Anolis sagrei: one gene and its partners. The main gene of each other region encodes a partner of the protein of the gene in region 4 in a complex. Links are inferred from orthologs where the notes say so. Each region holds a gene or a part of one and is shown on either strand. Other genes may lie near its edges. The genes, in order: POLR2H; TAF1B; TATA box-binding protein-associated factor, RNA polymerase I, subunit C; POLR1C.

Region 1 (8,547 bases), on a different chromosome or scaffold from region 4:
CCCTGTCTCTCGTCCCCACCAACTGCTCATTGGAGGGAAGAATAGTAGAGGCCAAGAAGAAGTACTTTGGACACATCATGAGAAGACAAGAAAGCTTAGAGAATACAATGATGCTGGGGAAAACGGAAGGAAAAAGGAAGAGGGGCCGACCAAGGGCAAGATGGATGGATGGTATCCTTGAAGTGACTGGATTGACCTTGAAGGATCTGGGGGTGGTGACGGACGACAGGGAGTTCTGGCTAGGGCTAGTCCAGGAGGTCACGAAGCGACTGAACGAATAAACAACAAATGACAGGCATCCTCAGAGGTCGTGACTGTTGCTACTAGGGGTTTACAACAGGCTTTTTCTAAGTAACAGGGAAGATCAGACCCTTTTCTGTTACAACTGCCACAAATTAATTGGGTGTGTTATCACTTTCTGCATAAAACAAGGCACTAAGGCTTGCAAGTTTTGAACTTTGCATTTTTAGCTTAGCCTGATGGCTCGTTTTGAGCTGAAGAAACCTTTAACTGTTGCTGGGAGCGGTTACACAGCGTGCTGAAACTGAAGACTGAAGCAGTTTGGAATACCAGAGAAACTGCTTGTTTATGGCAAGACGAGGACATTCTATAATAACTTAAGTAGACAGATTGTATTATTTTGCTATATATTTGCATATTGTCGTTTATAGAAGATGCCTCACCGGAGAGATACACTACACTACTTACCTCACCAAGAGTTTTTTAAAAAAATAGTCTTTGTAATTGGCCCTGCACACCCTGATCAATTATTGTGATTTTATATTGTATCTTGTGTTTATTTTGTATTGTTCTTTTATTATTTTTATTGTATTTTTATTTGATGTATTATTGTATGTTTATATATTTGCATTAAAAGTTAGATTAGAAACAAAGAAAAGATATATATATATATATATATATATATATGAATTATATCTCTGTGTGTGTGTGTGTGTGTGTGTGTGTATATATATATATATATATATATACACACACACACACACACACACATATATATTTCCATATATATGAATTAATTCCACAATGTATGTATGTATGTGTGTGTGTGTGTGTATATATATATATATATATATATATATATATATTCATTCCATACACGCACAATATGTATATATACAGTCACACATTGTGGAATGAATTCATATATATGGAAATATTATATGATTATATAGATGTATGATTGTGTGTGTGTGTATATATATATATACAAACACAATCATATATCTATATAATCATATATTTCCATATATATGAATTCATTCCACAATGTGTAATGTGTATCTGTATGTATGTATGTATATTTATTTATTTATTTGTCGTGTCAGAGCACCCAGTCCATTATATTACATTTCTAACAGAACAAAGCAAACAAACAGAAAAATACACAACTTGTGAGTTTGATAGCTGGTTAAATGTCCTTTGACCAGTATCTCGCCACTTGGAGTGCTCCTGGTGTTGCTGCAAGAAAGTCCTCCATTGTGCATGTGGCAGGGCTCAGGTTGCATTGCAGCAGGTGGTCAGTGGTTTGCTCTTCTCCACACTCGCATGTCGTGGATTCCACTTTGTAGCCCCATTTCTTAAGGTTGGCTCTGCATCTCGTGGTGCCAGAGCGCAGTTTGTTCAGCGCCTTCCAAGTCGCCCAGTCTTCTGTGTGCCCAGGGGGGAATCTCTCATTTGGTATCAGCCATTGATTGAGGTTCTGGGTTTGAGCCTGCCACTTTTGGACTCTCGCTTGCTGAGGTGTTCCAGCAAGTGTCTCTGTAGATCTTAGAAAACTATGTCTAGATTTAAGTCGTTGACGTGTTGGCTGATACTCAAACAGGGGATGAGCTGGAGATGTCTCTGCTTTGGTCCTTTCACTATTGGCTGCTACTTCCCGGCGGATGTCAGGTGGTGCAATACCGGCTAAGCAGTGTAGTTTCTCCAGTGGTGTAGGGCGCAGACACCCCGTGATAATGCGGCATGTCTCATTAAGAGCCACATCCACTGTTTTAGTGTGGTGAGATGTGTTCCACACTGGGCATGCATACTCAGCAGTAGAGTAGCATAGCGTAAGGGCAGATGTCTTCACTGTATCTGGTTGTGATCCCCAGGTTGTGCCAGTCAGCTTTCATATGATATTGTTTCTAGCACCCACTTTTTGCTTGATGTTCAGGCAATGCTTCTTGTAGGTAAGAGCACGGTCCAGAGTGACTCCCAGGTTTTTGGGTGCGCTGCAATGCTCCAGTGAGATTCCTTCCCAGGTGATCTTCAGAGCTCGGGATGCTTCTCTGTTCTTGAGATGAAAGGCACATGTCTGTGTTTTAGATAGGTTAGGGATCAGCTGGTTTTCCCTGTAATAGGCAGTAAGAGCACCTAGAGCTTCGGAGAGCTTCTGTTCTACAGTCTCAAAGCTGCCTGCTTGAGCAGTAATGGCACGATCATCAGCATAGATGAAGCTCTCTGTCCCTTCTGGCAGTGGCAGAAGGGACGTAAGGAAGGAGTAAAGAAGGAGAGAAAGGGAGGGAAGGAAAGAGAGACGGATGGAAGTAAAAAGTGAAGGAAGGAAATAGGTAGAGAAGGAAGAAAGGAGAGAAAAGGGAAAGAAAAGGGGGCAAGGAAGGAAAGAGGTAGGGAAGAAAGGAAGGAAGGAAGGAGAGAAGGAAAGAAGAAAAGAGAAGGAAGGAAAGAGGGAGCAAAGGAAGGAGGGAAAGGAGAAAAAGAGGGAGGGGAAGGTTGGCCACAGCAATGCAGGTACAGCTAGTGTATTTGTGTGTTCATATATTCATTCATATATATATAGTATGAATTCATTCCGCAATATATATATCTGATGCTTTAATAAACGCAGTTTTGTTGTTTGCAACTAATGCCAGACTCTTCTCCAGTCCTTTTAGCTGGAGCGCCCAAAATAAGTCACCCACAAAACCCTTCTATATAGTGGTAGCTTCCCAGGGAGGCAAAGAAAGCTTCTGCGCAGGCGCAAGGGAATCCAGTGACCTCATGCTGCCTTCCCGTTTCTCTGTTCTTGAGATGAAAGGCACATGTCTGTGTTTTAGATGGGTTAGGGATCAGCTGGTTTTCCCTGTAATAGGCAGTAAGAGCACCTAGAGCTTCGGAGAGCTTATTTATTTTATTTATTTGCTTTATTTTTATACCGAATTTGCAGCCTAAATCGGCGACTCAATGCGGTTTCTGCTTCTGTTCTGCCGTCTCAAAGCTCCCTGCTTTGAGATGTATATATATATATGTATATATGTATATGTATGTATGTGTGTATGTTGTTGTTCATTCGTTCAGTCGTCTCCAACTCTTCGTGACCTCATGGACCAGCCCACGCCAGAGCTCCCTGTCGGCCGTCACCACCCCCAGCTCCTTCAAGGTCAGTCCAGTCACTTCAAGGATGCCATCCATCCATCTTGCCCTTGGTCGGCCCCTCTTCCTTTTGCCTTCCACTTTCCCCAGCATAATTGTCTTCTCTAGGCTTTCCTGTCTCCTCATGATGTGGCCAAAGGACTTCAACTTTGTCTCTAGTATCCTTCCCTCCAATGAGCACCCGGGCTTTATTTCCTGGAGTATGAACTGGTTGGATCTTCTCAGCACTTTCCTCCAGCACCACAGCTCAAAAGCATCTCTCTTCCTTCGCTCAGCCTTCCCTAAGGTCCAGCTCTCACATCCGTAGGTGACTACAGGGAAGACCATGGATTGGACTATGCAATGGATCTTTGTTGCCAGTGTGATGTCTCTACTCTTTACTATTTTGTCGAGACTGGACATTGCTCTCCTCCCAAGAAGTAAGCGTCTTCTGATTTCCTGGCCACAGTCTGTGTCTGCAGTCATCTTTGCACCTACAAATACAAAGAAAAATGTGTGTGTGTGTGTGTGTGTATATATATAAAGGTAAAGGTTGTCCCCTGACATTAAGTCCAGTCATGTCTGACTCTGGGGTGTGGTGCTCATCTCCATTTCTAAGCCGAAGAGCCAGCGTTGTCCATAGACACCTCCAAGGTCATGTGGCTGGCATGACTGCATGGAGTGCCGTTACCTTCCCGCCGGAACGGTACCTATTGATCTACTCACATTTGCATGTTTTCGAACTGCTAGGTTGGCAGTGTAGGGGCAACAAAACCAAAATATTTCCCAAAAGGCAGAAGCCCCCTTTCCAATAGGGAGGGCAAGAATGGACACCACGAAAGTTGAATCCTTTAAACTGCAAAAAACTATTTATTATTGCGTGGCCATAGCAATAACGACAAACAAGCATACAGGGATGCAATCAAAGGGTTTGTCGCAACCCCCAAGGGGGCTGCAGAGCAATTATAGTAAATGGAATATACATTTTCATTGGTTCCCAAAGACAAATCACTTCATTGGTCTAAGCTAGCTATGCAGTTGTTCATTAGTTGTTTATGATTTTGATTGACATTATAGCACACGTGGGATCCTAACAATGGCACAACTATAACATAACTATGGTCCATTGTTCTCTGACCATGACTGTATCTTATCTATTAGTCTGTTGCAAACATGGCTTCAGAGCGACTGGGAAACTTGGGGGTTCTATCTAGCAAACAGCTAGCTGGTTTTGTCCAGATATGTTGTTACCCTTGAATAGTAACTTCTTCTTTGGAGCACTGATTTCTCAAACAATCAGCATTTTCTGTGAACAAAGGCCTACTGCAGAAATAGGCCAATATGGCAGTAAATCATGACATATGGGCATAGGGGAAATATATGAAAATTCCCTTTTTAAAACCACGTCCCCTCCAGCAGAAGCTAGGGTTGACAGCGGAAGCTCACGCCGCTCCCCGGAATTGAACCTGCGACCTTTCGATCAACAAGCTCAGCAGCTCAGTGCTTTAACCCACTGCACCACCGGGGGCTTTGTGTTATGTTATGTGTGTATATATATATATATATATATATATGAATTCATTCCGCAATATATTATGTATGCTGCTTTAATCAACTCAGTTTTGCTGTTTGTAACTAACGCCAGACTCTTCTCCAGTCCTTTAACATGGAACACCCAACATAAGTCACCCACCAAACTCTTCTGTATACTGCTAGTTTGCCAGGGAGGCAAAGAAAGCTTCTGCGCAGGCGCAAGGGAGTCCAGTGACCTCATGCTGCCTTCCCGTTTCCTCTGGGGTTTGAAACCTCCTTCTGCCCGCGAACGCGATGGCTGCTTGAGCTTCGGGCGCGCTGCGTCATCTGCGAGCGCCGGAAGTAACCCTAGTGTGGGGTTTCTCACTCCACGCGGATCCTGTCAGCTCTGGCTCCGAGTCGAGGGCGCAGAGGGCGGGATTTTTGATGTGTCTTGTGTCTGGCTCTGGTTCTCTTTGTCAGGCTGCATTCCTTCCCCTTCCTGACCCACCCCTGAACCTGTGGGCGTTGGGCCTCCTTCTCTTTGGCCATGGCTGGCATCCTCTTCGAGGACATTTTCGACGTGAAGGATATCGACCCCGAGGGAAAGAAGTTCGACAGGGGCAAGTATTCTGACTGTGATGATGATTATTATGTATGTTATCTTATATAGGCAGTCCTCAAGTTAAGAACAAGATAGGTTCTGTAGGTTTGTTCATAAGTTGACTGTGTATCCTCCAGCCAAATATCTATGTATATTTTTGGATAGCATAGAGAAAGGTTAACACCCCTGTGGTGTTTGTTTTGCTCTCTGTGCCCCTGTTATGATTTCACCTCACTTTCTGTCCCAGTGATAATTCATTTTGGACAATTTGACTTGTTGTGGATACAAGGATCGGTGATAAAGCTTCAGTGGAGACACTTTTCCAGGTGTGGATTTAATGCAATAATAATAATAATAAACTTTATTTGTACCCCGCCATCATCTCCTCAAGGGGACTCGGAGCGGCTTACATGAGGCCAAGGCCAACAACTCATCAGTAAAAACAAAACAGCAAGCAAATAAAACAGTACAATTAATATAACTTACATATAAACAATAACACAGAGAATTTCCCTTCTGAGGGGTAGATTTCTCTCCCTTCTTGTTGTCTCGCCCTTGTTCTTAACTACGAGTAGTTTGTAAGTTGGATGTTTGTAACTTTCGGACTATCTGTATTTGTGTCTTTGTCTTGACATAGGTGTGAGAAGTGTGTTTGGTGGTCTTAGAATAAGTCAGAATTGACTGGTTTGTTAACACTATATAACATGATGCCTAGGCGAACTACAACTCCCAGATCCTATGTCAATCACCCCCAAAAGAGGGCCTGTATGCAAAATTGGCCATGTTGGGTCTGTGTGCCATGTTTTGTCCAAGTCCAAAGTCGGCTGGGTTCAGTGCTTGCTGGATAGGGTGAACTACATCTCCCAGAGCCAAGGTCAATCATCCTCAAACCCCTGTGCACTTGTATGCACAGTTGGCCATGTTGGGTCTGTGTGCCAAGTTTGGTCAGGATCTGATCATAGAATCATAGAATCAAAGAGTTGGAAGAGACCTAAAATGATCAAGGGTCTGGAGAACAAGCCCTATGAGGAGCGGCTTAGGGAACTGGGCATGTTTAGCCTGAAGAAGAGAAGGCTGAGAGGAGATATGATAGCCATGTATAAATATGTGAGAGGAAGCCACAGGGAGGAGGGAGCAAGCTTGTTTTCTGCTTCCCTGGAGACTAGGACGCGGAACAATGGCTTCAAACGACAAGAGAGGAGATTCCATCTGAACATTAGGAAGAACTTCCTGACTGTGAGAGCCGTTCAGCAGTGGAACTCTCTGCCCCAGAGTGTGGTGGAGGCTCCTTCTTTGGAAGCTTTTAAACAGAGGCTGGATGGCCATCTGTCAGGGGTGATTTGAATGCAATATTCCTGCTTCTTGGCAGGGGGTTGGACTGGATGGCCCATGAGGTCTCTTCCAACTCTTTGATTCTATGATTCTATGATTCATGGGCCATCCAGTCCAACCCCCTGCCAAGAAGCAGGAATATTGCATTCAAATGGCCATATAGCCCGGAAAAACCTACAACAACCCAGTTATATAACTTCTATAGTTATATAACATTTTATACATGTATTTATACAATATTTCCCAAGAACTATTCCTGCCCTCTGTGAACCTTCCCTTCTATCCCCACATTCATTTATTGCTCTTATACCTACTGTTTCTCCTGAGAACCCAAGGTGCCACATATAATCCCACCCGCCCCCCAAACTACAGATCACAATCCTTTGCTGTAGGCCAAACATTAATACATTACTAACAGTCATCCACCACATTTCATGATGACATTTGAACAAGGTACGATCTGCTTCCACCCTATCTGTCTTCAGGCTACTAGAAAAAGTTCCCCGTTTTCTGCTTGGTGACAATATACTTCCAATGTTGTGTCTTAATTGACATATGGGTTTGTCTCATCAGTTTCCCGACTACATTGTGAGAGTGAGTCCTTCAAGATGGATTTAATCCTAGATGTGAATGTACAGATCTATCCTGTTGATCTTGGTAAGTCAGTTTTAAGTCACTGGCCCAACTGTTGGGTAATAGCTAAGCTTGTGTTGTTTGATTAAAAATCTGTTTATTTTTAAGCTTTTTTCTCTTGGCAAATTCAGGCTTCTTGACTTACCGTATATAAACCCTGCTCTTTTCCTCTTATCCAAAATGCTTTGGATCGCAGATTTTCTTTTTCATATTTTCATTTAAGTACATCATGAGCTATCTTGGAGATGGGACACAAATGCTGAATTCATTTATCTCTCATGTACATCATATACATACAGGTAACTTTATGCACAGTATTTTTAATAATTCTTTTCACATAACAAAATCCATGTACACTGAACCATCAGAAAGCAAAAGGTGTAACTATCTCAGCCAGCCATGTGGACAGCTTTGGAGGATTTTGGAATTCCAGATAAGGGGTGCTGAACTTGTAACGTGTAGAAGTATTATTTCAGCCATAGTGCAGCCTTTGAAATCACCTTGTACTGAATTGACAGTGTCGTATTTTGCTTCAAGCGTGTTATGTACCTAAACTCAACTTTTGGTGTCTCTATGGTAGTGTTTTCTTGTCAAGATTTCTTTAGAAGAGGTTTGTTATTGCCCTCTGAGGATGAGAGAGTGTGGGTTGCCTAAATCCTTTCAAAGGTCTTCCATGGCCAGACCCTTGTCTCCTGGAGTCATAGTTCTACTACTCAAACCAGTACACTGCACTGACTCCTACGTCTCCTGTCTTCTCTCATTTCAGGTGACAAATTCCGCCTGGTAATTGCCAGTACCTTGTACGAAGATGGAACCCTGGATGATGGTGAATACAATCCTACTGATGATAGGCCATCCAGGTAATGGGAAAAATGTTCTGCCAGAGGTGTGGATGTAACATAGGTTTGGGTGAGTAATGTGTCTACATCAGTGGTTGTCAATCTGTGGGTCCCACATGTTTTGGCCTCCAACTCCCGGAAATCCTAATAGTTGGTAAACTGGCTGGGGTTTCTGGGAGTTGTAGCCCAAAACACCCAGGGACCCACAGGTTGAGGACCATTGGTCTAGATCATGCTTTTTTGCAGATTTAGCCCCTTGGGGAGACTGTCTTC
Region 2 (7,623 bases), about 81 Mb from region 4:
TGTTATTACATTGTTATGAAAAAATGAATTACATTATCAATCTTAAAATTATAACTTTTATCACTAATGTGATATGAGCATTACTTATGGTATACTCAAATTCAAGGCAAAAGTAAGTTATTATAAATTGTCTAGGGCTTTCTAAAAGACTCACATTACTACTTCCTATAATTTGTTATAAAAAAGGGAAAAAAGTTAAGAAGATAGCTATGGAGCAATTTGGAGAGCCAAGGTTTCAAGGAAGGAGAAAATACAGGAATGGTTAAGTGGTGATATTTCGAAATCGCGCAATTCCTGGTGATTACATTAATTAAAAGAAATTACCATGAAAGGATTATTCAACAAAACTTTAGGCGAGTAATGGAGCATTGATGCCCATTTGGAGACCACCCATAGAAACACCTATTCCTCGGTGTCACTAAAATGAGGTAACTTGGAAGAATCTGACAGATCCCATCCCACATGTAAATAAGCACCTTCTGCTATTTACGCATGAATCAGGAGCTCAGAAGATATTTCTCCCTGACTCCAATTCTCCCCATTTGTATACACTTTTAAAACACTTCACAGATGGATTACCATGGACAACAGGAAGAAGTCATTTTGTGTCGTATGATGAGCTCTGTTTTTAAAGTGTATAGAAATGGGGGGTGGGGGGTGGTGGTAAACACGACTTGCATCTGACGAGGTCCTACACCTTCTTGGTGAGCAAGAGATAATTGTGGGCTCCTCAGATAACTCTTAGCAGAGACACTTTGAGGTGTTATTTGACACAGGTTGCTTGTTTCCTGAAAGCAAATGCCTTGACATTTAACATGTCACCAAAGAGAATGGCTTCCTTATAATTAAGCATGTCTAACACCAAAACCTAAACAGTGTGTGTGTCAATGGTCTATTCGGCTTTGGGAAAATGGGAACCAGAACAGTAATATTAGCAGTGGAATCTTGTTCATTAGAAAGGAAGCCTGGAAGAATCCACCGGGCGTGTATTTATCTGAGTTGTGTATCAAGCTGCGTGTACTGCATATAACAATCTTAATTAGAAAAGTGAACTGAAGCAAGAAGACAGACTGTCTCCTTACTCCAACATTATCATATTCCTATCAATGTCTCCTTATACTTAGGTAACATATAATTATAGACAAAGGTTAGCATATAATTGTATATGTTGAATAACTGGTTATATGTGTATGTCATTATTTAAAGGCAGGGTTGGCTTTCCTCCAATTGGTGTTTGAGCAAGGAAGAGTGAGTGGGAAAGAGGGAATCGGTACCGAGTGATGAACATAGGGGTTAATTGAACAATGAACAGCCATGAAATAAAATACAATAACAATGGTTTCAGAGTGTGTGCTTTTTAAAAAGAATACATGTATATACAGGTTGAGTCTTCTTATCTGAAACAGTAGGACTAAAGGTGTTTTAGATTTCAGATTATTATTTTGGGGGGATTTTGAAATACCTGTGTTTGCATATATGTGCTTATGAGATCCAAATCGAAGCACAAATTTCATTTATGTTTCATATACACTTTACATTCATAAGTATATATGAAAGTAATTTAATACACAATTTTAAAACAATTTTGTGCATGAAGCCAAGTTTGTGTAGTTCAAATTGTCAAGAAGCAAAGATTTCACCATTTCATGTGTACACTTTTGGATTTTGGAGAATTTTGGATTTTGAATTTCGAAATTCCTGACAAGGGCTGCTCATGCTGTATTTCGCATTCCAAACGGAAACAAAATTTACTTTTGAGTTAGAAATGAATGACTAATGCCCCTTCCGGCAAACTGGTGAACATGTGAGCAGAACAAGGAAGGCCTGTGTAGAAGACATATTGATGGAGAGCCTTGGGCTGATTGTCTCTCTTCCTGCTCAGTCAAGGACTGAATGTTAACTGAGGCATGTTGAGAGAAGGCAACTAAGGCCCCTTCCACACCCGAATAAAATCCCACATTTTCTGTGTTGAACTGGGATATATGGCAGTGTGGACTCAGATAACCCAGTTCAAATAAGATATTGTGGGATTTTCTGCCTTGATATTCTGGAATATAGGGTTGTGTAGAAGGGCCCTGAGTCAAAAGCCAGAAAATACTATTGTTTTCAGGGCACCTGATCAAAAGGTTTGAAACTGGCCCGTAGCCAGTTTTTGATTTGGGGGGGGAGGGGGGGGGGCTGAGTCTGAGTGAAAGAGGGTCTACCCTAGCAAACCTTTTGTATTGTTACCCCAATACCCCCGTGCATATGGGATATATTGAGCATGGTGATCAGATCATGATATGAATAAACATAACAGTTTAAATAATGTACCAGTAAGGCCTTTTCGCAGACCACCATGAGAATTTGTGTGGACATAGAGTAGACTTTTCTCCCCCTTCCTGCCTCCATCCAATCCAACTGCCATTGACTTAGAGCCCTTCCACACAGGTTATCAAGGCAGAAAATCCCACATTATCTGCTTTGAACTGGGTTATCTGAGTCCACACTCAGATAATGTGGGATTTCCTGCCTTGATATTCTGGAATATAAGGCTTTGTGGAAGGGACTTAACTGGGTTCAAAACTTATCTTCTTTAATCTCAATTATATGAGTCTCCACTTCCAAATAATCAAGGATAAGAAGGTAATCTGGGATCAGATCCTGGGATATAGGACAGTGTGGAAGGGGCCTTATAGGGAGTCTTAGGGCTCTTCCACACAGCCATATAACCCAGAATATCAAGGCAGAAAATCCCACAATATCTCCTTTGAACTGGAGTATATGTCAGTGTGGACTCAGGGCCCTTCCACACAGCCCTGTATCCCAGACTATCAAGGCAGGAAATCCCACATTATCTGAGTGTGGACTCAGGGCCCTTCCACACAGCCCTATATCCCAGACTATCAAGGCAGGAAATCCCACAATATCCACTTTGAACTGGATTATCTGAGTCCACACTCAGATAATGTGGAATTTGCTGCCTTGATATTCTGGGATATAGGGCTGCATGGAAGGGCTCTCAGATAACCCAGTACAAAGCAGATATTGTGGGATTTTCTGCCTTGATATTCTGGAATATGTGTGGAAGGGCCCTTAGATAACCCAGGGTCCTTCCAAACAGGTCCTATATCCCAGGTGTTCTGCTTTAAATTGGATTATACGAGTCCCCACTGTTAGATAATCTGGGATAAACAGAAAACCTGGGATCAGATCCTGGGATATAGGGCCCTTCCACACAGTTATAGAACCCAGAATATCAAAGCAGCTAATCCACAATATCTGCTTTGAACTGGGTTATCTGAGTCCACGCTGCCATATTGTTGCTGTTGTTCATTTGTTCAGTCATTTCTGACTCTTCGTGACTTCATGGACCAGTCCACACCAGAGCTCCCTGTCGGCTGTCACCACCCCCAGCTCCTTCAAGGTCAATCCAGTCACTTCAAGCATACCATCCATCCATCTTGCCCTTGGTCGGCCCCTCTTCCTTTTTCCTTCCTAGGTATAACCTAGTTCAAAGCAGATAATGTGGGATTTTACTCAGCCAGGCATGTAGCCGGGGGGGGGGGGGGGGGGGGGGGGGCCTTGAGGGGCTTCAGCCCCCCCCCCCCCCGAAATTCTCATGGTGGTTCGCGAAAAGGCCTTCCTGGTGCATTATTTAAACTGTTAATTCATATCATGATCTGATCACCATGCTCAATATATCCCATATGCATGGGGGTATTGGGGTAATGATACAAAAGGTTTGCTAGGGTAGACCCTCTTTCACTCAGACTCAGCCCCCCCCCCCGAAACTCAGCCCCCCCTGAAAAAAAATTAGGCCCCCCCACCCCGAAATGAAATCCTGGCTACGGGCCTGTACTCAGCTGTGTGGAAGGAGCCTTTGTGTTGATATGTCCTCCCATTCTGGAAGGCGAATGGAAGATCAGTTGCCGAAAAGAACCACATTTACACTTACTAGGCCACATGTTCTGCCATCTGGGCTTCCTTATCAAAATCGCTTATGACTTGGTAAAGAGAGGCGAGTGTCAACTGCTGCCTTTTTGACTGATTTATCCCACATGCACTTTTCTCACACGCATCCCATGGGGTGTGCTTGAAGGGCGCGCCTCTTTCCCTGCAGGGGGCGACGAGCGACAGAGAGAAGCCGCTGCGGTTCGAGCCTCGGAACCAAAGCACTCGGAGTGTTGTTTCCCGGCCGACTGTTTTTGAGAGCGGACCGCTCATCCGGTGGGCTTCTCTCGCACCGCGGGGACCATCGACGGTGGTCTGGAAGGGACTTTCCGATGGAGGAAGAGGAGGCGGTGAGGCTAGGCTGAGGGAAGGGGGCATTTCGGGGAGAAGGAGCGCTCCCTGGAAATACTGGGGGCCCTTCCATACAGCTGAATAAAACCCCACATTAGCCGCTTTGAACTGGAATATATGGCAGTGTGGACTCAGATATCCCAGTTCAAAGCAGGTATTGTGGGATGTTCTGCCTTGATATTCTGGATTATTGGGATGTGTGGAAGGGCCCAGGGAAGGAGAGCAAAAACCCACGTGGAGCAGACAGCAGGCCCTTCTACACAGCCCTATAACCCAAAATATCAAGGCAGAAAATCCCACAATGTCTGCTTTGAACTGAGTTATCTGAGTCCACACTGCTACATGTTCCATTATTTATTTATTTTATTTACACAATTTCTACCCCTCCCTTCTCACCCCTGAGGGGGGACTCAGGACGGCTAACATGGGCAACAATTCAGTGCCATAATATCAATACAACAATGTAAAATCAAATACATAGCAAATTAAAACAGTAACATTAATTAAAATCACATACTTATATACTAACAAAGTTGCCAAATCAAGTCACATAGCCGTTTCCAATTGTCATAACAATCCTATGGTCCGGGTTCAGTATCTAAAGTGCTGCTGTGCCCACTAGCCAAAGGCCTGGCTCCAAAACCACGACTTTAGTTTTTTCCTAAAAGTAAGGAGGGAGGACGCCGATCTGATCTCACTGAGGAGCGAATTCCACAAGCAGGGGGCCACTACCAAGAAGGCCCTGTCCCTCGTCCCCACCAAGCGCGTTTGTGACACTGGTGAGACCGAGAGCAGGGCCCCCGCAGTAGATCTTAAATTATGAGGTGAAACATAGAGAGAGATACGTTCGGATAAGTAAGCTGGGCTGGAGCTTATTTATCTGAAGCAGATAACGTGGGCTTTTATTCAACTTTGGAAGGGGTCTCAATGCTACATAATGCCAAGAGTTGCAGTTTGGAGAGGTACCAGCACTCTTTGGGCCCTTCCACACAGCCCTATATCCCAGAATATCAAGGCAGAAAATCCCACAATATCTGCTTTGAACTGGGTTACCTGAGTACACACTCAGATAATGTGGAATTTTCTGCATTGATACTCTGGGTTATAGGGCTGTATGGAGGAGCCCTTTGGCTAAAGGCCTTGTAAAACTACAACTCTCAGGATTCCATAGCATTGATCCATGTCAACAAAAAGTGTGAATCTGCATTAGTTTTACAGTGTAGATGCACCTTAAATGGGATGCTAAAAAGTGAGCATTTGAGGATATGTGTATTTTGAGAAAAGATGCAGCCAAGTTGAGGGGGAAAGTGCATGCTCCATGCCTATACAAGCAATTATTACATAATTAATAATAAAATGATATTTTATGTGTTACTTGTCTTTTCTCACAGCTTGAGATGAGGAACAACACAGTCAAAACACAACACTATAAAATACATGTCATAAAATCAATACATTAAAACACACCATTGAAAAATACATAAATTAAAATACAATGCAAATAGCTATATTAAAATATAAGTAGAATGTAAAGTTAAAATTCACCATTTAAAATGTATTGGATTCAGGACTGTTGATGTCTGCAAAAAAGGAAACTAAGAAAATTGCCACACCTACGTATGAAATTGGACAATACCCTATTGATATTTTTTAAAACAGTAAATTATAATTGTATAGGAAGAACTTGGCTGTCCTTTGGGGTGTCCAGCTCATCATACAAGTCTGTATGCATCCAACATTTCTAGTTAAAGTCCAACTATCTTACAGTGTTTATAAACAACATCTTTAGATGGAGAAATCTAAAGCTAATTAAATTAGGTGCTTCATACCACAATCCAATGCATTTTGTTTATATAAGCCTAAGCCCCACTATGCTCAATAGAATGTGCTTGTTGGTAAAGGTGCATAATACTTGGGTGCAATTCTAGGCACACTTACTTGGAGGCCCTATTGACCACAATCCACTTCATTTCTAAGTGAACACAGTGATTTTTGTGTGATTATTACATTTAAAGGAGATATTTCTCTCAAATCTTACTTCCATGTCAGTTTATAGTGTGTTTGATTAGTATGAAAAGTAGGTATTTACATTAAAATTGATTTTATTGTTTTCAGAGAGATTTTGATGAACCTTGTGCAAAATGTATTTCTGTCGACTGGGGTGTTACAGAAGAAGGCAAATTTTACTGCAGATCTTGCCACACGGTCACAGAAGTAAGTAATGATCTATGCTGTTATCCCCTTCCACACTCCTAAACTGTGAATCTTTAGTTTAAAATTAAATCATCAGCATTGTCTGGGATCTTTATTAATGATCTTCCTCTGACTAATTAGTGACTCAGAATACAGATGCATATTACAGCCAAAAAATACACCCAAGAGTCTAGAAGAGTATTGTTGTACTGTGTAGGATTCTCAGCCAGGGTCTGCATCCAAGTCAGATTTGTGCATAAAAAGCTGTTTTCCTTCCAGTTGCTTACTTGGGACCGATTTTTGCAGCCTCTGCTGCTGACTCCATTATATTCATAATTAATTTTAATCATGTCATATTTCCATGCTTAAAGGAAAATGTCTGCAAGTATCTGGATGACAATGCAGTGATTAGTAGCGGCCAACATGGGTTTGTCAAGAACAAATCTTTCCAAACTTACCCTAGATCTTTTTTTTTAATTGGGTCATTAATTTAGTAGGTGGTGGGAATGCTGTGAGTGCCATTATTCTGGCTTTCAGCAAACTATTTGATAAAGTCCCCACAATATTTTGATTAGCAAATTGTCTAAATATGGAATAGATGGAAATGCCATCAGATGGATCCATAATTGCTCAAGGAGTTGTTGTCAATGGCTCTGCTTCAGATTGGAAGGCAGCCTCAAGTGGAATGCCACAATTTGCAAATGATGCAAAACTGGATGGGGTAGTCAGTACATTGGAGGACAGGAACAGCATTCAAAATAACCTGGAAAACTGGACTAAACTTAATAAAATGAAGTGTAACAGAGACAAATGTAAAAGTCTACATTTAGGCCACAAAATTAAAAGCACAGATAAAAGATGGCAGATACTTGGTTCAACTGTTCTGTGAATAAAAAGGATCTTGGGATTACTCTTGATCATAAATTGTACATGAGTCAGCAGTGTGATACTGCAACAAAGAAGACAAATGCTGTTTTGGCCTACATTGATAGAAGCGTTATTGCCAAGTTGAAGGAAGTGATAGTGTTATATATTTTTCTGCACTGGCCAGTGATTGTATTCATTTCTGGGCATCTCTATTTAAGAAAGATATAGACAAAATGGAGTGAGTTCAGAGAAGAGTAATGGGAATAGTAAGAGGTATAG
Region 3 (7,919 bases), on a different chromosome or scaffold from region 4:
CCAACATTCCGTTTTCCGTTCTTGAGTTCGGAGTAGAGCAACTGCTTTGGGCATTCAGACAATGTGGCATTCAGTCCAGCGGAGTTGATGGCAGAGGACCATCGCTTCAATACTGGTGGTCTTTGCTTCTTCCAGCACGCTGACGTTTGTCGCTTGTCTTTCCAAGAGATTTGCAGGATTTTTCAGAGGCAGCACTGATGGAATCGTTCCAGGAGTTGCATGTGACATCTGTAGACAGTCCACGTTTCGCAGGCGTATAGCAGGGTTGGGAGGACAATGGCTTTATCAACAAGCCCTTTGGTCTCCCTACAGATGTCCCGGTCCTCAAACACTCTCTGCTTCATATGGAAAAATGCTGAACTCGCAGAGCTCAGGCGGTGTTGACGTCTGTAGACAGTCCACATCTCGCAGGCATATAGAAGGGTTGGGAGGACAATAGCTTTATAAACAAGCTCCTTGGTCTCCCTATGGATGTCCCGGTCCTCAAACACTCTCTGCTTCATTTAGAAAAATGCTGCACTTGCAGAGCTCAGTCGGTGTATATACATGAATCTGTGCCTTCTATGAGCGATTTGCAGGATTTTCCAGAGACAGCGCTGATGGAATCGTCCCAGGAGTTGCATGAGATGTCTGTAGACAGTCCACGTCTCGCAGGCGTAGAGCAGGGTTGGGAGGAAAATATCTTTGTAAACAAGCCCCTTGGTCTCCCTATGGATGTTCTGGTCCTCAAACACTCTCTGCTTCATTTGGAAAAATGCTGCATGCAGAGAGCTCAGGCGGTGTTGTATTTCAGTGTATATGTTGACGGCTGTAGACAGTCCACGTTTCGCAGGCGTATAACAGGGTTGGGAGGACAATAGCTTTATAAACAAGCCCCATGGTCTCCCTACAGATGTCCCAGTCCTCAAACACTCTCTGCTTCATTCGGAAAAATGCTGCACTCTCAGAGCTCAGGCAGTGTTGTATTTCAGTGTTGATGTTGACATCTGTAGACAGTCCACATCTCGCAGGCGTATAGCAGTGTTGAGAGGACAATAGCTTTATAAACAAGCACCTTGGTCTCCCTACGGATGTCCTGGTCCTCAAACACTCTCTGCTTCATTCGGAAACATGCTGCACTCGCAGAGCTCAGGCAGTGTTGTATTTCAGTGTCAATGTTGACGTCTGTAGACAGTCCACGTCTCGCAGGCGTATAGAAGGGTTGGGAGGGCAGTGGGTTTATCTACAAGCACCTTGGTCTCCCTACGGATGTCCCGATCCTCAAACACTCTCTGCTTCATTCGCAGAGCTCAGGCGGTATTGTATTTCGGTATCAATGTTGACTTTGGTGGAGAGGTGGCTGCCAAGGTAGCGGAAATGGTCCACATTTTCTAATGTTATGCCATTAAGTTTTGTTTTTATTAGGAGACGCAAATGATGTATGCTTTTAGTATTCCTGTTATGTTTTTATATTATGTGTTAATGTTTCTAAATGTTTTATGTTGTTTTTGGGCATTGAATCATTGCCATTTGTAAACAGCCCTGAGTTGTGTAAGGGCTGAGAAGGGCGGTATACAAATATAGTAAACAAACAAACAAATAAATAAATATTTCTGGCATTTGGGGAGGGAAGTGCTGGAAGAGCACTTTGGTTTTCTCAATGTTTAATGACAGGCCAAGCTTCTTGTATGCTTCTGCAAAGGTGTTTAGAGTGGCTTGTAGGTCTTCTAAATGTGCACAGATGACATTGTCATCAGCATACTGGAGTTCTATAACAGATGTTGTTGTGACCTTTGTTTTGGCGCATCTTGGTTTTCTTGATGTTCAATGACAGGCCGAGCTTCTCATATGCTTCTGCGAAGGTGTTTAGAGTGGTTTGTAAGTTTTCTTCTGAATGCGCACAGATGACGCTGTCATCAGCATACTGGAGTTCTATAACAGATGTTGTTGTGACCTTGGTTTTGGCGCACTTTCATTTTCTTGATGTTCAACGACAGGCCAAGCTTCTCATATGCTTCTGCGAAAGTGTTTAGAGTAGCTTGTAGTTCTTCTTCTGAATGTGCACAGATGACATTGTCATCAGCATACTGGAGTTCTATAACAGATGTTGTTGCGACCTTGGTTTTGGCGCACTTTGGTTTTCTTGATGTTCAATGACAGGCCGAGCTTCTCATATGCTTCTGCGAAAGTGTTTAGAGTGGCCTGTAGTTCTTCTGAATGTGCACAGATGACATTGTCATCAGCATACTGGAGTTCTATAACAGATGTTGTTGCGACCTTGGTTTTGGCGCACTTTGGTTTTCTTGATGTTCAATGACAGGCCGAGCTTCTCGTATGCTTCTGCAAAGGTGTTTAAATGGTATTGTCGAAGGATGTTCAATGACAGGCCGAGCTTCTCATATGCTTCTGAGAAAGTGTTTGGAGTGGCCTGTAGTTCTTCTTCTGAATGTGCACAGATGACATTGTCATCAGCATACTGGAGTTCTATAACAGATGTTGTTGTGACCTTGGTTTTGGCGCACTTTGGTTTTCTTGATGTTCAATGACAGGCCGAGCTTCTAATATGCTTCTGAAAAGATGTTTAGAGTGGCTTGTAGTTCTTCTTCTGAATGCGCATAGATGACATTGTCATCAGCATACTGGATTTCTATAACAGATGTTGTTGTGACCTGGGTTTTGGCGAACTTTAACTTGATGTTCAACAACAGGCCGTGCTTCTCATATGCTTCTGTGAAGGTGTTTAGAGTGGCCTGTAGTTCTTCTGAATGCGCATAGATGACATTGTCATCAGCATACTGGAATTCTATAACAGATGTTGTAACCTTTGTTTTGGCTTTCAGTCTGTTGAGGTTAAACAGCTTGCCATCTGTTATATGTATTGTATGTATGTATGTATGTATACAAAAATAAATAAATAGTTGAAGCCATAACAACAACAACAACAACAACAATTCTCAATGGAAAGGGAAGGCCTTGGTGGGTTGCTTCTCCCACCTCAGCCTTGTGCCCCTGTTAATAATAATGAGGATAATAGCAATAATGATAATTCAGCTCACTTCCTCCTCTTCTTCCTCTTCCTCTTCCTCTTCCTGCTCCCTCTGCACTTGCCCATAGGAGCCCCAGCCAGACGCCAAGGAGGAGGGCCGGGTGACAGCGCGGTGGGGCGGCCCCGCCAGGAAGAGCCCCGGGAAGAGCCTCTCCGGAAAGGAAGCCGCCTCCGCCATGCTTGCTTCCTTCCTTGAGAAGAGGCGGACGCGGGCCTCGAACTCGCGGCAATCAGGAGGAAGAGGAGCAACTGCGCATGCGCCACTTCCAACAGCCCTCCCGTCCTCCCTCCTGGCGGCCGGAAAGCCCCGGAGTGGAAACACCGCCTATCGCCACGCCCCCTCTTCCTGATTGGGTGGACCACTCGGAGGCGGGGCTTGGGGACAGTCAGTCATCCTCAGTCGCCTGCGGCCTATCGCCACGCCCCCCTCTTCCTGATTGGGTGGACAACAAGGAGGCGGGGCTTGGGGGACAGTCAGTCATCCTGAGTCGCCTGCGAGCCTATCGCCACGCCCCCTATTCCTGATTGGGTGGACGACGCGGAGGCGGGGCTTAGGGGACAGTCATCCTGAGTCGCCTGCGAGCCTATCGCCACGCCCCCTCTTCCTGATTGGGTGGACAACAAGGAGGCGGGGCTTGGGGGACAGTCAGTCATCCTGAGTCGCCTGCCAGCCTATCGCCACGCCCCCTCTTCCTGATTGGGTGGACGACGCGGAGGCGGGGCTTAGGGGACAGTCATCCTGAGTCGCCTGCGGGCCTATCGCCACGCCCCCTCTTCCTGATTGGGTGGAAGACACGGAGGCGGGGCTTGGGGGAAGGTCAGTCATCCTGAGTCGCCTGCGGGCCTATCGCCACGCCCCCTCTTCCTGATTGGGTGGAAGACACGGAGGCGGGGCTTGGGGGAAGGTCAGTCATCCTGAGTCGCCTGCGGGCCTATCGCCACGCCCCCTCTTCCTGATTGGGTGGAAGACACGGAGGCGGGGCTTGGGGGAAGGTCAGTCATCCTGAGTCGCCTGCGGGCCTATCGCCACGCCCCCTCTTCCTGATTGGGTGGAAGACACGGAGGCGGGGCTTGGGGGAAGGTCAGTCATCCTGAGTCGCCTGCGGGCCTATCGCCACGCCCCCTCTTCCTGATTGGGTGGAAGACACGGAGGCGGGGCTTGGGGGACAGTCAGTCATCCTGAGTCGCCTGCGGGCCTATCGCCACGCCCCCTCTTCCTGATTGGGTGGAAGACACGGAGGCGGGGCTTGGGGGACAGTCAATCATCCTGAGTCGTAATATAATGTAATATAATATAATATAATATAATATAATATAATATAATATAATATAATATAATATAATATAATATAATATAATATAATATATAATATAATATAATATAATATAATATAATATAATATAACAACATAACATAACATAATATAATATATTATATAATATAATATATAATATATAATAATAATATATAATCTAATGTAAAATCTAATATAATACAAAATATATAATATAATATAATATAAAATATAAAATATAATCTAATGTAATGTATAATAATATAAAATATAATCTAATATATAATATAATCTAATATAATATATAATAATAATATATAATCTAATATAAAATCTAATATAATACAAAATATATAATATAATATAATATAATACAATATAATACAATATATATAATATAATGTATTATATTATATTGAATATAATATTATTATATTATATAATGTATATCGTATTATATTGTATACAATATAATATATTATATGTAATGTAATATAATGATAAATAAATAAATGGAGGCGCATTTTTGGAGAAGTGGCATTTATTTATTATTTATTATTTGGGGCATTATTATTATTATTTAGTAAATAAAATATATTACATTACATTATATATATGTTATATAATATAATATATATTATATAATTCTAAATATTATATAAAATATAATATATATATTATATTTAATATATATATTATATATTATATAAAATAATATATTTTTAATATATATCACATATATTAATATATTATATAAAATAGTACAATATAAATTTTATTATATTACATAATATATATATTCTGAAAAAGGAAGGAGAAGCCACTGTTTTCAGCATCCAGCCATTCGCCTGGCTCAGGAAGCCCCTTCATGCTTCCTGGGCCACTAATCCACTAACAAAATTCACAGAAGAGGAGAGAACTATAAATCCCATGTCATCAAGGGCTGGAAGGACCTGGCAGGAGTCCGGGGGTCCTGAGGGCTGACCGCAGGAGGCTGCCCGGGGTGGCAGGCTTCTGGACATTGGTGGAATGGAGGCACAAATATCGCTGCAGCGTGGGGCCATGTGTTGGAGTGCAAAAAGTAAGATAGCAGTTAGTCTTAATATTAGTCTAGGAAAAGAATGGCACTGGTTTGGAGGTGATCCGTCGACCCGCAGATTCGGGGGCCCAATGGGTTTCCATATCCGCGGTTCAGAGGATTGCAGTTTCTGCCTCCGAGTTGTTTAATTCATTCCAGCTGGAATGGATGACGACCGCAATCATTTGCCCAGGAGCCAACATGACTCGTTGGAAAAAGTTATACAGTTTTTATAGGAAATACAGAGCTTACAGAGCCGGCTTCGCGCTGATTGGTTGGAGTCATCAGCTGGCCGGGAGGCGCGGCTGGCTGAGCTGCACTCTAGCCAATCAGAGCGCTTTCCCCGCTTCGGCCTCTCAGCCAATGAGGAGGCAGGAGGCCTGACAGGAGGGAAACAATGAATAGAAAATCATGCAGGGTCAGGGGGAAATCATGTCAGCCTCCCCCCTCCAAAGTTCCTCAAAAGGTCATAAGGTTTTGTGGAAATCCTAAAAAGTCCATAGGGGTTTGGCAGGAAGGCTTCCTGGGAGATCCAGGAGTCCTCCTGAAGTTGACAAAGTTCTAAATGTTCATAAAAGTTGTGGAAAGTTGGAAAAAGTTGATAAAAAGCGTCCAAAAGGTTCATAAAAGTCCATGGGACACATGGGAGTCAGAGGGAGCATGGAGGCGTTGGAGTCCATTTGCAGAAGAGGAGAGAACTAGAAATCCCATGTCATCAAGGGCCGGAAGGACCTGGCAAGAGCATGGGGTCATGTGTTAGAGTGCAAAAAGTAAGATAGCAGTTGGTCTTAAAATTAGTCTAGGAAAACAATGGCACCGGTTTGGAGGTGATCCGTCGACCCGCAAATACGGGGGCCCAATGGGTTTCCATATCTGCGGTTTAGAGGATCGCAGTTTCGGCATCCCCGAGACGCTGTAGGAGCGTCCCGGGTGAGCCAGCAGTGATCTGCGGCTCGGGAAAGGAAAGGTTCATGTTAGAGAGTGTTTAAGGCACTCCAGAATGTATCACTATGGAGAGGAAAAGTTGCAAGCAAAGGATTCGTTTATTGGGGTGATTGTTGCATTGGCAGGCTAAGTTCATAAAGGAGGAAAAGAAAGGTTCTTGTGTTGAAGCTGCTGCTTTGACCACAGACCCTCGGTTCTTCACGCTGTCCAGAAGTATGGAAACTGCGGAACTCCCTGCTGCAGTTGAGATCAATCTGAAGGCTTGGGGATTCAGCCTCACAGGGAGACAGAGGATGTTTCTCCTTCTGAAGGGCATCAGATGGGTTCATGGGGCATCAATTGGTTCCAATGAACATTGGCCATGTCTGCCCCACCTTTAGGCGTGGGCAGTCTAAAAAGCTGTCAAAGTGTATAAAATATCTTGTAATTTCCTCCAATTTACCTCTCCGAACATATTCTCCCCTATGAGCCATCAAGATTGCTAAGATCGTCTGGAGGGGCCCTGCTCTTGATCCCACCGGCCTCACAGGTGTGGCTGGTGGGGACGAGAGACAGGGCCTTCTCGGTGGTGGCCCCTCGACTCTGGAACTCCCTTCCACTGGAGATCAGAACTTCTATCTTAACATTCAGGAAACAGGTGAAAACTTGGCTTTGGGGATTGGCATTCGACGAATGAGCCATGATCCTGTGAAATGGATGGAAGACGACGAATAATGATTTTTGATGACGACTGACCACTGTAATTATAGGATTGTATTTTGCTATTTTAATGTTTTAGTGTGATGTAGAATATGATGTTTTAATGACTGTAATACTGATGTTGGAAACTGGCCTGAGTCCCTCGAACAGAAGTGACAAAACTGCCAAATATATCTATCTATCTATCTATCTATCTATCTATCTATCTATCTATCTATCTATCTGGGAAGGTGTGCTTTGTGTACATTTTGGAATGGAGACTCGGTCCTTGCATTCCTTTTGGCCAAACTGTGATCAACCTCTGCTGTTTAAACCCGGAGTGCTTTGTTCTCTGTCCTGGCCAATCGGGTTTGGCGGAACCTCACCGGGCACGGCCCCGCTATCCGCGGTCTCTGTTGAAATGCCCACTGTTTCCCCCCTCCCACTGTGCCTCCCGGCTGTTGCCTAAGCCAGAGGTGTGGGGTGTTTGGGTGACCCCCACTCAGGGTCCAGGGGAAGCAATGGGAGAGTGTGTTGCCCCCCTCCCCCCTCCCCCTGTCCTGAGGGAAGTCTGCCCTTCCTAAGCTGCTGTGGGGAGGGGGCCCCTTGTGACACACCTGGTTGCTATGGCAATAAGCCCACCTTCTGTTGGCATGGAGATGCTACCTGGTGGCCATGGGGTGGACAAAGGCTCTGCTCACAGTTGTCCCAAGGAGCCCTCCTGGGAGGAAGGTAGGGGGGGGGGGCAGCGAAGAAGTGAGGTTGCATCCCTTCCTCCCCACCCCCACCCCCTTCCCTTTCCCCTTCCCCATACCCACCCCTTTGCCTTTCCCCTTCCCCATCTCCTTCCTCTTCTCCATCTCCTTCCTCCTCCTTTTTTGTCTTCTCCTTATCCTCC
Region 4 (8,518 bases):
TTCTTTTTGTACCTGACACTCTCTAGGTCACCTAATGTGATTCTGCAATCAACACGTGCCAGATGTTAACTATAGAGTTGCAGTAGAGGACCTAGGGATTCCTAAAGATACTATTTATTTAATCAAAACTGATTAAACACAGCTGCTGGAACATCAGCTTGTACAGACCAGGAGTTTGAGTCTCAGGCATCTAACCTTAAAGTGGCTACCCTGACTCTGTGTATGGCATGACCTACACTAATTTAAATAACTATAAATTATCCCTCTAAATTGGGCAATAAACATTAGTCAAGACTACAATATGGAAGAAACATCAAGATACTATTTCCAAAAAATTGGAATAAATTAGAAACATGTGGGAATCAGGATTTAAAACTTTGATCCTCAGATTTGATAAAGAAAGCTGTGGTTACCTCATCAGCAACTTGCCGACTCAACTGTCCCTTAAAGCCCTTCATCCCCAAGAACTCTCCATCTTCTTCATCAGCAGCTGCTGCTTCTGCATCCACCTCTTCCTCTTCCTTCATACGTTGATGCATCTCACCCATGTCTTCAAAGCTGGAGCCAGATGTGTCATCCATGTTTTCCATGTCAATTACAGCAGAACCTCCACCCTGAGCAAGGTGGAAAGATACAGTGAGACCATGCACAAACATTTACCTTGACTCGAGAGGCAGCACAGCCATGAGAAAGAAGGCTGCAATGAATATCCTACAATAATCTCTCTCTGTAGAAAAAAAATTACAGGCATTGATAACAATCAATGTAAACTCAATTCTTCATACTTGTCTTTGTGTCAAATGGGAAGAGCAAGAGGAAAGCATCCTTTTTGTTGGCTTCATTCGATGTATCAGTAGATGCTGAAAATTGGGAAGAGTTTCACCATTGACAGTAATTAAGAGTATATTCTTAGGCTAGATCTACATTGCTATATAATCCAGATTATCTGCTTTGAACTTAATTATATGAGTCTACACAGCTGTATAATCCAGTTCAAAGCAGATAATCTGGATTTTATATGGCAGTGTAGATGGATCCTAGTTAACTGGAACCATGGGAATATGTCCCCTGCTTCCATTCCCATCATACACAACTAGGGAGAAGGCTCAAACTTTGTTTTGTTATTTGTGCTTTGTTAACCTTCAGATGAAACTATTGTAAAATGAAAACCACAAAAGGTTCCTTAAAGTTCAGATATTCCTTCTAGTTGAGGACATTTAGATCCATTAGATCAGTGGTTCTCAACCTGTGGGTCCCCTTTTGGCCTATAACTCCCAGAAATCCCAGCCAGTTTATCAGCTGTTAGGATTTCTGGGAGCTGAAGGACAAAACTTCTGGGGACCCACAGGTTGAGAACCACTGCATTAGATAAAAATAAAAGGAAGGAAGTCCAATGACTTTGTGAACTCCTGCAAGCTGTTTTAGGTTGAGGAAAAGTAAATCAGAACTTGGGGGAAAATTCACTAGGCTCAAAAGAAGGTGAAATTGTCTCCCTAGTCTCCTGGACAGTCTTTTCACTGGAAAAAATCCTAACTTTAAAAAAAACAACAACACCAAACCAGTGCACACCAGGGGTATATGCATACGGTTTCCAATATAGTCCCACAATTGCCCTCTTCTGACCTAAAGCTTTTCTATAGTGATTAATACTGTTCTCACATTTTAGGATGGGGGAGACTAAATTAGCGATTCTGTAGTTGTACCCTGCTGCTATAAGAACAAGATTACTTTGAGAATTGGAGACAAATCAATGTCCCCCATCCGCCAAAGGCTTCAAACCCTCTAGAAATGTCACATTTCTGTGCATTACCATAGGAGGTCTAAACGTTTAAAACATATGTTGGCAGAGTGGAGTTCTGGGATGGTTTGCAGCACAAAACTCCTCTTTCCACCCCACAAAAACCACTTATCCCATCAATGTTTTGTGACAAGAGGTTTCTGGGAATGTGTGCTGAAGCAAGAGATCTTACTCCTGATTTCAAATTGAAACCATTTTATGGATCTGAGAACAAACATTAGAGGCATGCCTTCTATTTTCAAGACCGTTACAAACTAGTGTCAAAACAATGCCTTTAGACAAACATAGTATCAAACCCAAATGGCTTGCTTGAAGTTGTGGGAAATCTTTGTTTTTCCAGATACACTGGACTGTCATCCCCACAATATCTTGAAGGGCAAGGTAGATCAGAGATTAACCCAAACCAGACTGACAGTCAAAAGTTTATTGCTTCATAGCGAGCGTATATTTCTACAATAAATAACCTTTCAGATGGAAGAGATATTTCTACAGCCTATAGTGCTATGGAGACAGGAAGGTTAGTTAAGTTAGACCATGGAACTAGTGATTATTTAAGATTATTATAAATTCATGGTATAACTAAAATTGTATGGAATTGAATAAAGTCTATTGAAATGGAAGCTATGAAACATGCATATGATCAGGTTGGGCAGGCAGAACAGACTGCCATTTGAAGACCTGGGGTCAAACGGATAATCAAAACATTCAATTAGTTAACTCAAGAATTTTGGCAGAAAAAACCTAATAATCTTTTCTATTTGTACTAGAAAAATTATTGTTTATGGGATAACAATATGTGGAATCCTTTTAACTCATGAATCTGTCCAATTCTGTGTGTAATTCGATGACTTCAACATACAATTGCAAAAAGAGACCATTTAAAGAGGAAGCCCTTTTCCAAAATGGGAGAAAATTTAAAAGACTAAATAAAAGGTATCATCCACATGAGTTAGAAAGTGGCACTTGCACATATGTCTTCCATAGCTGTTGCAATTGCAGGGCTTTTTCAGTTGTTTGTGTAATCAAAGCTGACAAGGCAATAGCTCCACAACAATAACTAAATCTGTGCCTAAAGAAGAAAGCCTAGAGCAAGTGCATGCCATTGGAAAGGTCAGCCACACAAATGTCATTGCAGAGAAGCTGTATTGACAACTCAAATCCGACAATATTACTCAAATTTAACATTTCTGTAGTTTTATCTTACAAGTATATTACAGGCATGAATAAGGAGAACTAAATCAGCCTTATGATGTTTTCATAATTTGAACCAATACTGACATCACTTCAAAGTTCCTGTTAATAATGGGTACATCTCAACTGTAGTTAATGCAATTTGACACCAATGTAATTACTGTGGCTCAATTCAATAGAAATCTGGGAGTCATAGTTTGGTGAGGCATCAACACTATTCAGCAGAGACCTTTTAAAACTCCAGTTCCCAGAATTCCATAGCATTAAGGCATGGCAGTTAAAGTAGTTTCAAGCTACATTTAATTGTTGCATTGGAGATACATTCAATATTATAAATAGAAATACCACTAATAATAAAAATTAGTGCAATCTATCCGGAGATCAGCACTGAGGCTCATCCCTTTAGTATCTAGAATAAAGCTTTCCAAAATGTCATGATATATTATAGTGTCTTGGTTGCAGTGTGTAGGTGTGTTATGTGAATGTAATGAGAAACCTCTGAGTATGTAAAGTAAGCATAATGATATATATTTAAAACTATATGGTTATAAAAGGATGGTTTAAACTCTGGTTTTCCAGTGAAACTGAATTAGTGGCACAAAATGATGCATGCTCCAATTCTGTGGAACTCATTGCCTCCATACATTAGAGCATTGTCGGAGTTGCGACCTTTTGTAAAGGCACTCAAGACTTGGCTGTTTGGTTGTGCATTTAAGTAATCAGATCTAATTTGCCAAATAGTCACTGTTGAATGTTTTTATGTTGAATGTTTTTATATTGTGTAAATGCTATTTTAGATTGTAAGTCGCTCGGAGCACCTTGGTGGAGAGTGACTAATTAAGAAATAAAGTGAAGTCTAAAAAGTGTGTCACCATGAAATGTTTGGAAAGCTCTGCTCTAGAGCTTCCTTCGGCAACAACCCCTTTGATCTCTTATTTCAAAAACTTTATTTGTTATGTTTATTTTTCTCTCTCTCTCCTTTATATATTTTAAAAACGTAGCATATTCACCCGAGCATAATGGGTCATTCAATCTAATGCACATTTTAATTTTTAGCTGTGTAATTTATCCAAAAAAAAGACAAGCATTAGACTTGGGCAAATAATGTACAATTCTGTTATCATTACATTAAAAACACCAGATTTGGGGTTGGCCAAATGAACAGACAGTTACCAGAAGGCATTTCCATAAGTTAGTGCTTAGAACTACTTGAACAGGACACTGCTATTTTTACCCGTATGTACTCAAGTGTAATGCACCATTGAATCTAACAAACACATCAATTTGGACTATATAGCCATTTTAGTCCCCAAAAGGGGGAGCATTAGACTCAAGTAAACATGGTATTTCCTAATACATTTTAGGAGCACCTAAAGGAACTCCAGCAGGTTTTGAAGCTAAGAAGTTACCTCTCAATAGGTGGTTATCTACTAGAGGACTCACTCCTAACTAAGCCAACTAAATAAGTACATTCTCAAACACTCTCTCCTACATTGTTCTATATGACAGGACCTGATCCCAGATTATTTGCTTATCACAGATCATCTGGCAATGGAGACTCATATAATCCAGTTCAACCTGGGGTCAGATTCTGGAACATAAGGACAGTGTAGAAGGGACCTTACAAAACAGGGGCTTTTCCTGCCTGACGTTTTTGAAGCAGAGTTGGCGTCCAAAACACCTGGAAGGGAGGGCCAAGTTTGCCCCTGCCTGGTCTCTGGGCTAACTCCAATGCCGAAAGGTACCTGCATGTTGTCCTCGAAGGCCCCCCACTCGGCCACAGGCCCAGCCCTGGCTCCTCCAGCCGCCGACCCCGAGGGGACGCCTCCGGATCCGGACATCTTCCCTCCGGCTGCGAGGGAGCCTACGCTCCCGCTTCCCTGAGAGGAGAGGCAGGAAAACAGGGCCCAACTGAAGGCGAAGCGAGAAGGACCCGGATGTGACACCCAGCGGCGCTGAGGACGTGGAGGCGCGGCCCCTCTCGCGATATTTTACGGCAGGCGGCCTGTCGCTGGCGCCATCTTAGTTGTCCTCCTGGACAAGCTTAGCGACAACGGGCGAAAAAAAGGCAAAGTTTGTCCTCTCTGTTAAAGAGTGGTGCCTCATAAAACTACAGCTCCCATCATTAATGAGTATTGAGAGCCTTGTCAGTGAAAGGGGTTTCAAGCAGCATGAATTCTACAGCGAAGGAGCGCCACACACAATATGGCGTCCAAAAGGTTACGCGCCGCGTCACGTGACCCCAAGAGAGCGTCGCTTCTGAAAAAAAAAAACCAAAACATCCGGCGGAAGTTGGAAAGTTGATCTTTTCTCCTCCGGCTCACGTTGGTTCCAAGATGGCGGCGCCCGGGAGCGTGGAGGAGATGCGGAGCCGAGTGGTTCTGGGCGAGTTCGGAGTCCGCAACGTAAGTCGGGAAGGGAGAAAGGGAACCAGCAGCAGCAGGGGGGGAGCGAAGGGGCACTTCCAGGAGGCCTGCCTTGGACCCAATCCCCGCCACAGCCAGGCCAGGGAAGACAGCTGGTTCAGCTCACAGAGGGGCCACCAAGGAGGAATCAGTGCCGCTTGGCGCCACTTTCACAGCTGGGGATCAATGCTGTGGCATCTTCCACTCTAAACCAGACCGGACAGGCGAAAGCTAAAGCAGGCCTGGGCCAAGTTGGGCCCTCCAGGTGTTTTGGACTTCAACTCCCACCATTCCCAACAGCCTCAGGCTTGTTCTCCAAACGCTTGTTCATTTTAGTTGCCCTCCTCTGGACACATTCCAGCTTGTCAACCTCTCCCTTCAATTGCGGTGCCCAGAATTGGACACAGTCTTCCAGATGTGGTCTAACCAAGGAAGGAATAGAGGAGTAGCATGACTTCCCTGGGTCTAGACACTGTACTCCTATTGATGCAAGCCAAAATCCCATTAGCTTTTTTTTGCCGCCGCATGACATTGTCGGCTCATATTTAACTTATTGTCCATGAGGACTCCAAGATCTTTTTCACACGTGTTGCTCTCGAGAATTTAATGGCCTTGTAGCTTCAGAAACCATATGCAAATTAGTAGATCAAGTGAGACCTACTAATTGGGCCCTCTAGGTCTTTTGGACTCCAAGATATCTTATTATTCATGTCAAAGCAAATACAGGTATTCCATAAACTGAAAGATCCCAAAACATTTCTGATCTCAAGCAAGCGTTTTGGATAAGGGATCCTCAACCTGTACAGTATAACTTTCAGTGCTCAGTTGGCCCCTTGTGTCCACAAATTCAATTGTCTATGGCTTGAACTAGGGGGATTTTCCTAGCTCTGTCTCAGGCTGACCCTATGATTTTCTCTGCAATGTATATGTTCCAAGCATCACCTCTTCCCCTCTTTTTTTCAGGCCCACACAACAGACTTTCCCGGGAATTATTCTGGATATGATGATGCTTGGGATAGAACTAAGTTTGAAAAGGTGAGCGTACTTCTTCTTAGGTATCTTGAGGGGCTAGCATGATAGATCTTGATAGTAACCAGTAGAGATTTAGAACCTTTGTTTTGTTTCTAGAAATTGCTTTATCTATATAGTATATATTTGTTCAGCCAGTAGTACTGACATGTCTATTGTGAGGTGGAGGGATTTATGGTCCAGGTGTAAAAGATACAGGATAGATTTCAATTCAGCAGGGATTGATAATTGTTGTATCCTGCCTCAAGCTATGTGGAGAGGCAGGTAACAAGTACAATGCATTGTTGTTGTTGTTAAGTGCACTACACAAAGAAAATTCCCTTTGACCTTGGTATCTCTGGGGCCCACAAGCTAAATCTGGAGGATACATATGGCCTGGGAACTGCATTTTGCCCATTCCTGCTGTAGGATTCTCTTTTGCAGAAATACACCTAAAACAGACTGGAAGAAAGTAATTGATGTGAGGATTTGATTGTAAGCTGAATATATTTTTTCAGTGGTGTCGATTACTCAAACACATCCCTGATTGCGAAGTTTTTTTTACTTCTTGTTCTTTTCCAGTGAATATATTTTATCCTTAAGACTACGCCTGTTTTGAAACTGTTTGTTTCTTACAGAATTTCAGAGTAGATATCATCAGCATGGATGAAAGCACACTGGAGTTTGACATGGTGGGGATTGATGCAGCAATTGCTAATGCTTTCCGACGCATCTTGCTTGCTGAGGTATTCATTAGATTAGTACAATGAGTAATAAGGCACTTTTGGGGCATTTCTCTGGGTTATGACTTAGTTGGCTGGGTTTGGCTGCAATTACATTTTTACAAGTACAAGCTGGTCATTCTGAGTTATTCCAGAAGTTTCCCTTAGAAGTAAATAAAATGTTGAAGAAATATTGAGAGGGATGTGTGGTACTGTTTCATTATCCTGATGGAGGCCATTAATGTCATTATTTTATATGGTTTTATATATATGGTTTATGTAGTGTGTTTATACAGTGTTTTGTTTATTGTTTATTTGTCTGGGTTGGGGATGATGTTGTACTCTTGTATTATGTAATTTCTGTTTTTTAACCATTTGTTTGCCACTTTGTGTCTCACCTGTGAGAGAAAAGCGGATAAAAATAAATAAATAATAATAATGATAATTTCTGCTTCTTATAATTTTTACTGCTTTAGACTAAACTTGGTGGAGTGTGCAAAATCCTAATTTGCAGTCATTTAACTATAAGTAAAGTCTTTACAATTATCAGTGGTACGTTCTAGATGGTTTAACCTTTTCTTGGTCAGACCTTCAGGAAATGCATGGCAAATGTGTTAAATTGCCTAGTTTCCTTGTGGAGGCTTGATATATTGCTTAGAAATAAGGGAGTTTTGCCTCTCCTAATATAGTAAAGTAAGACTTTGGATTTACACAGTAGATTTATATTTTAGATCTTCTCGATACATGGCATGAACAAATAGCATTATACCTTCAGAATCCCTAAACAGATTCAGCTGAAATAAATAGATGTGTTTATTTATTGTAGACCGATGCTTTGCGATACTGTGGCTGAATATCTCTGCTTAGCAACAGATTTATTGTCTCTTCCTTAGGTGCCAACCATGGCTGTTGAGAAGGTCTTTGTATATAATAACACCTCCATTGTGCAGGATGAAATTTTGGCTCATCGTTTAGGACTGATCCCTATCTGTGCAGATCCTCGTCTCTTTGAATATAAAAGTGAAGGTAAGATAGCCAAGTATGCATTTGTAGGGGGACCAAAACTGATGAAGCTATGTGCTAAAAGAAGTTAATGCCAGAGCATAGGCTGTGTTTGGAGTTTTCAGTCTCTTTCTTTTCTTCTGCAGAGGATGAATGTGATGAAATTAACACTCTGCAATTCCAGCTGAAAATAAAATGTAGCAGGAACCTCGAGGCACCTAAGGAATCATCTGACCCGAATGAACTCTATATTAATCACAAAGGTAAAACATTTGTTTTGGAGTCGTTGTCCTGTATTCTGCTGTTTCTTGAGCACTGATTCTAGACACCCAGTGTCTCAGTTCAGTCATTTTTTTCCATTTCTGAATCTTACTTTATGGTGTTTGTTGCAG

The links.
Region 1: POLR1C (region 4) and POLR2H share a complex: the UniProt entries of both Homo sapiens proteins name them as parts of the pol I pre-initiation complex. The link is inferred for Anolis sagrei from reciprocal best matches to the Homo sapiens genes POLR1C and POLR2H.
Region 2: POLR1C (region 4) and TAF1B share a complex: the UniProt entries of both Homo sapiens proteins name them as parts of the pol I pre-initiation complex. The link is inferred for Anolis sagrei from reciprocal best matches to the Homo sapiens genes POLR1C and TAF1B.
Region 3: POLR1C (region 4) and TATA box-binding protein-associated factor, RNA polymerase I, subunit C share a complex: the UniProt entries of both Homo sapiens proteins name them as parts of the pol I pre-initiation complex. The link is inferred for Anolis sagrei from reciprocal best matches to the Homo sapiens genes POLR1C and TAF1C.

What each region holds. Positions count from the first base shown.
Region 1 is NC_090023.1:261,905,812-261,914,358, forward strand, and holds the start of POLR2H (DNA-directed RNA polymerases I, II, and III subunit RPABC3), read left to right. Parts: upstream 1-5,200; 5' UTR 5,201-5,416; coding exon 5,417-5,489; intron 5,490-7,375; coding exon 7,376-7,459; intron 7,460-8,201; coding exon 8,202-8,295; intron 8,296-8,547. UniProt on the Homo sapiens protein: DNA-dependent RNA polymerase catalyzes the transcription of DNA into RNA using the four ribonucleoside triphosphates as substrates.
Region 2 is NC_090021.1:130,630,328-130,637,950, reverse strand, and holds the start of TAF1B (TATA box-binding protein-associated factor RNA polymerase I subunit B), read left to right. Parts: upstream 1-4,129; 5' UTR 4,130-4,265; coding exon 4,266-4,283; intron 4,284-6,399; coding exon 6,400-6,498; intron 6,499-7,623. UniProt on the Homo sapiens protein: Component of RNA polymerase I core factor complex that acts as a GTF2B/TFIIB-like factor and plays a key role in multiple steps during transcription initiation such as pre-initiation complex (PIC) assembly and postpolymerase recruitment events in polymerase I (Pol I) transcription.
Region 3 is NC_090022.1:302,042,394-302,050,312, reverse strand, and holds the start of TATA box-binding protein-associated factor, RNA polymerase I, subunit C, read right to left. Parts: upstream 3,322-7,919; 5' UTR 3,204-3,321; coding exon 3,036-3,203; intron 1-3,035. UniProt on the Homo sapiens protein: Component of the transcription factor SL1/TIF-IB complex, which is involved in the assembly of the PIC (pre-initiation complex) during RNA polymerase I-dependent transcription.
Region 4 is NC_090021.1:49,747,719-49,756,236, reverse strand, and holds the start of POLR1C (DNA-directed RNA polymerases I and III subunit RPAC1), read left to right. Parts: upstream 1-5,280; 5' UTR 5,281-5,325; coding exon 5,326-5,394; intron 5,395-6,357; coding exon 6,358-6,429; exon of another isoform or gene 6,430-6,449; intron 6,450-7,040; coding exon 7,041-7,148; intron 7,149-8,017; coding exon 8,018-8,150; intron 8,151-8,272; coding exon 8,273-8,389; intron 8,390-8,518. Other genes in the region: protein YIPF3, read right to left, coding at 414-614, 4,735-4,830. UniProt on the Homo sapiens protein: DNA-dependent RNA polymerase catalyzes the transcription of DNA into RNA using the four ribonucleoside triphosphates as substrates.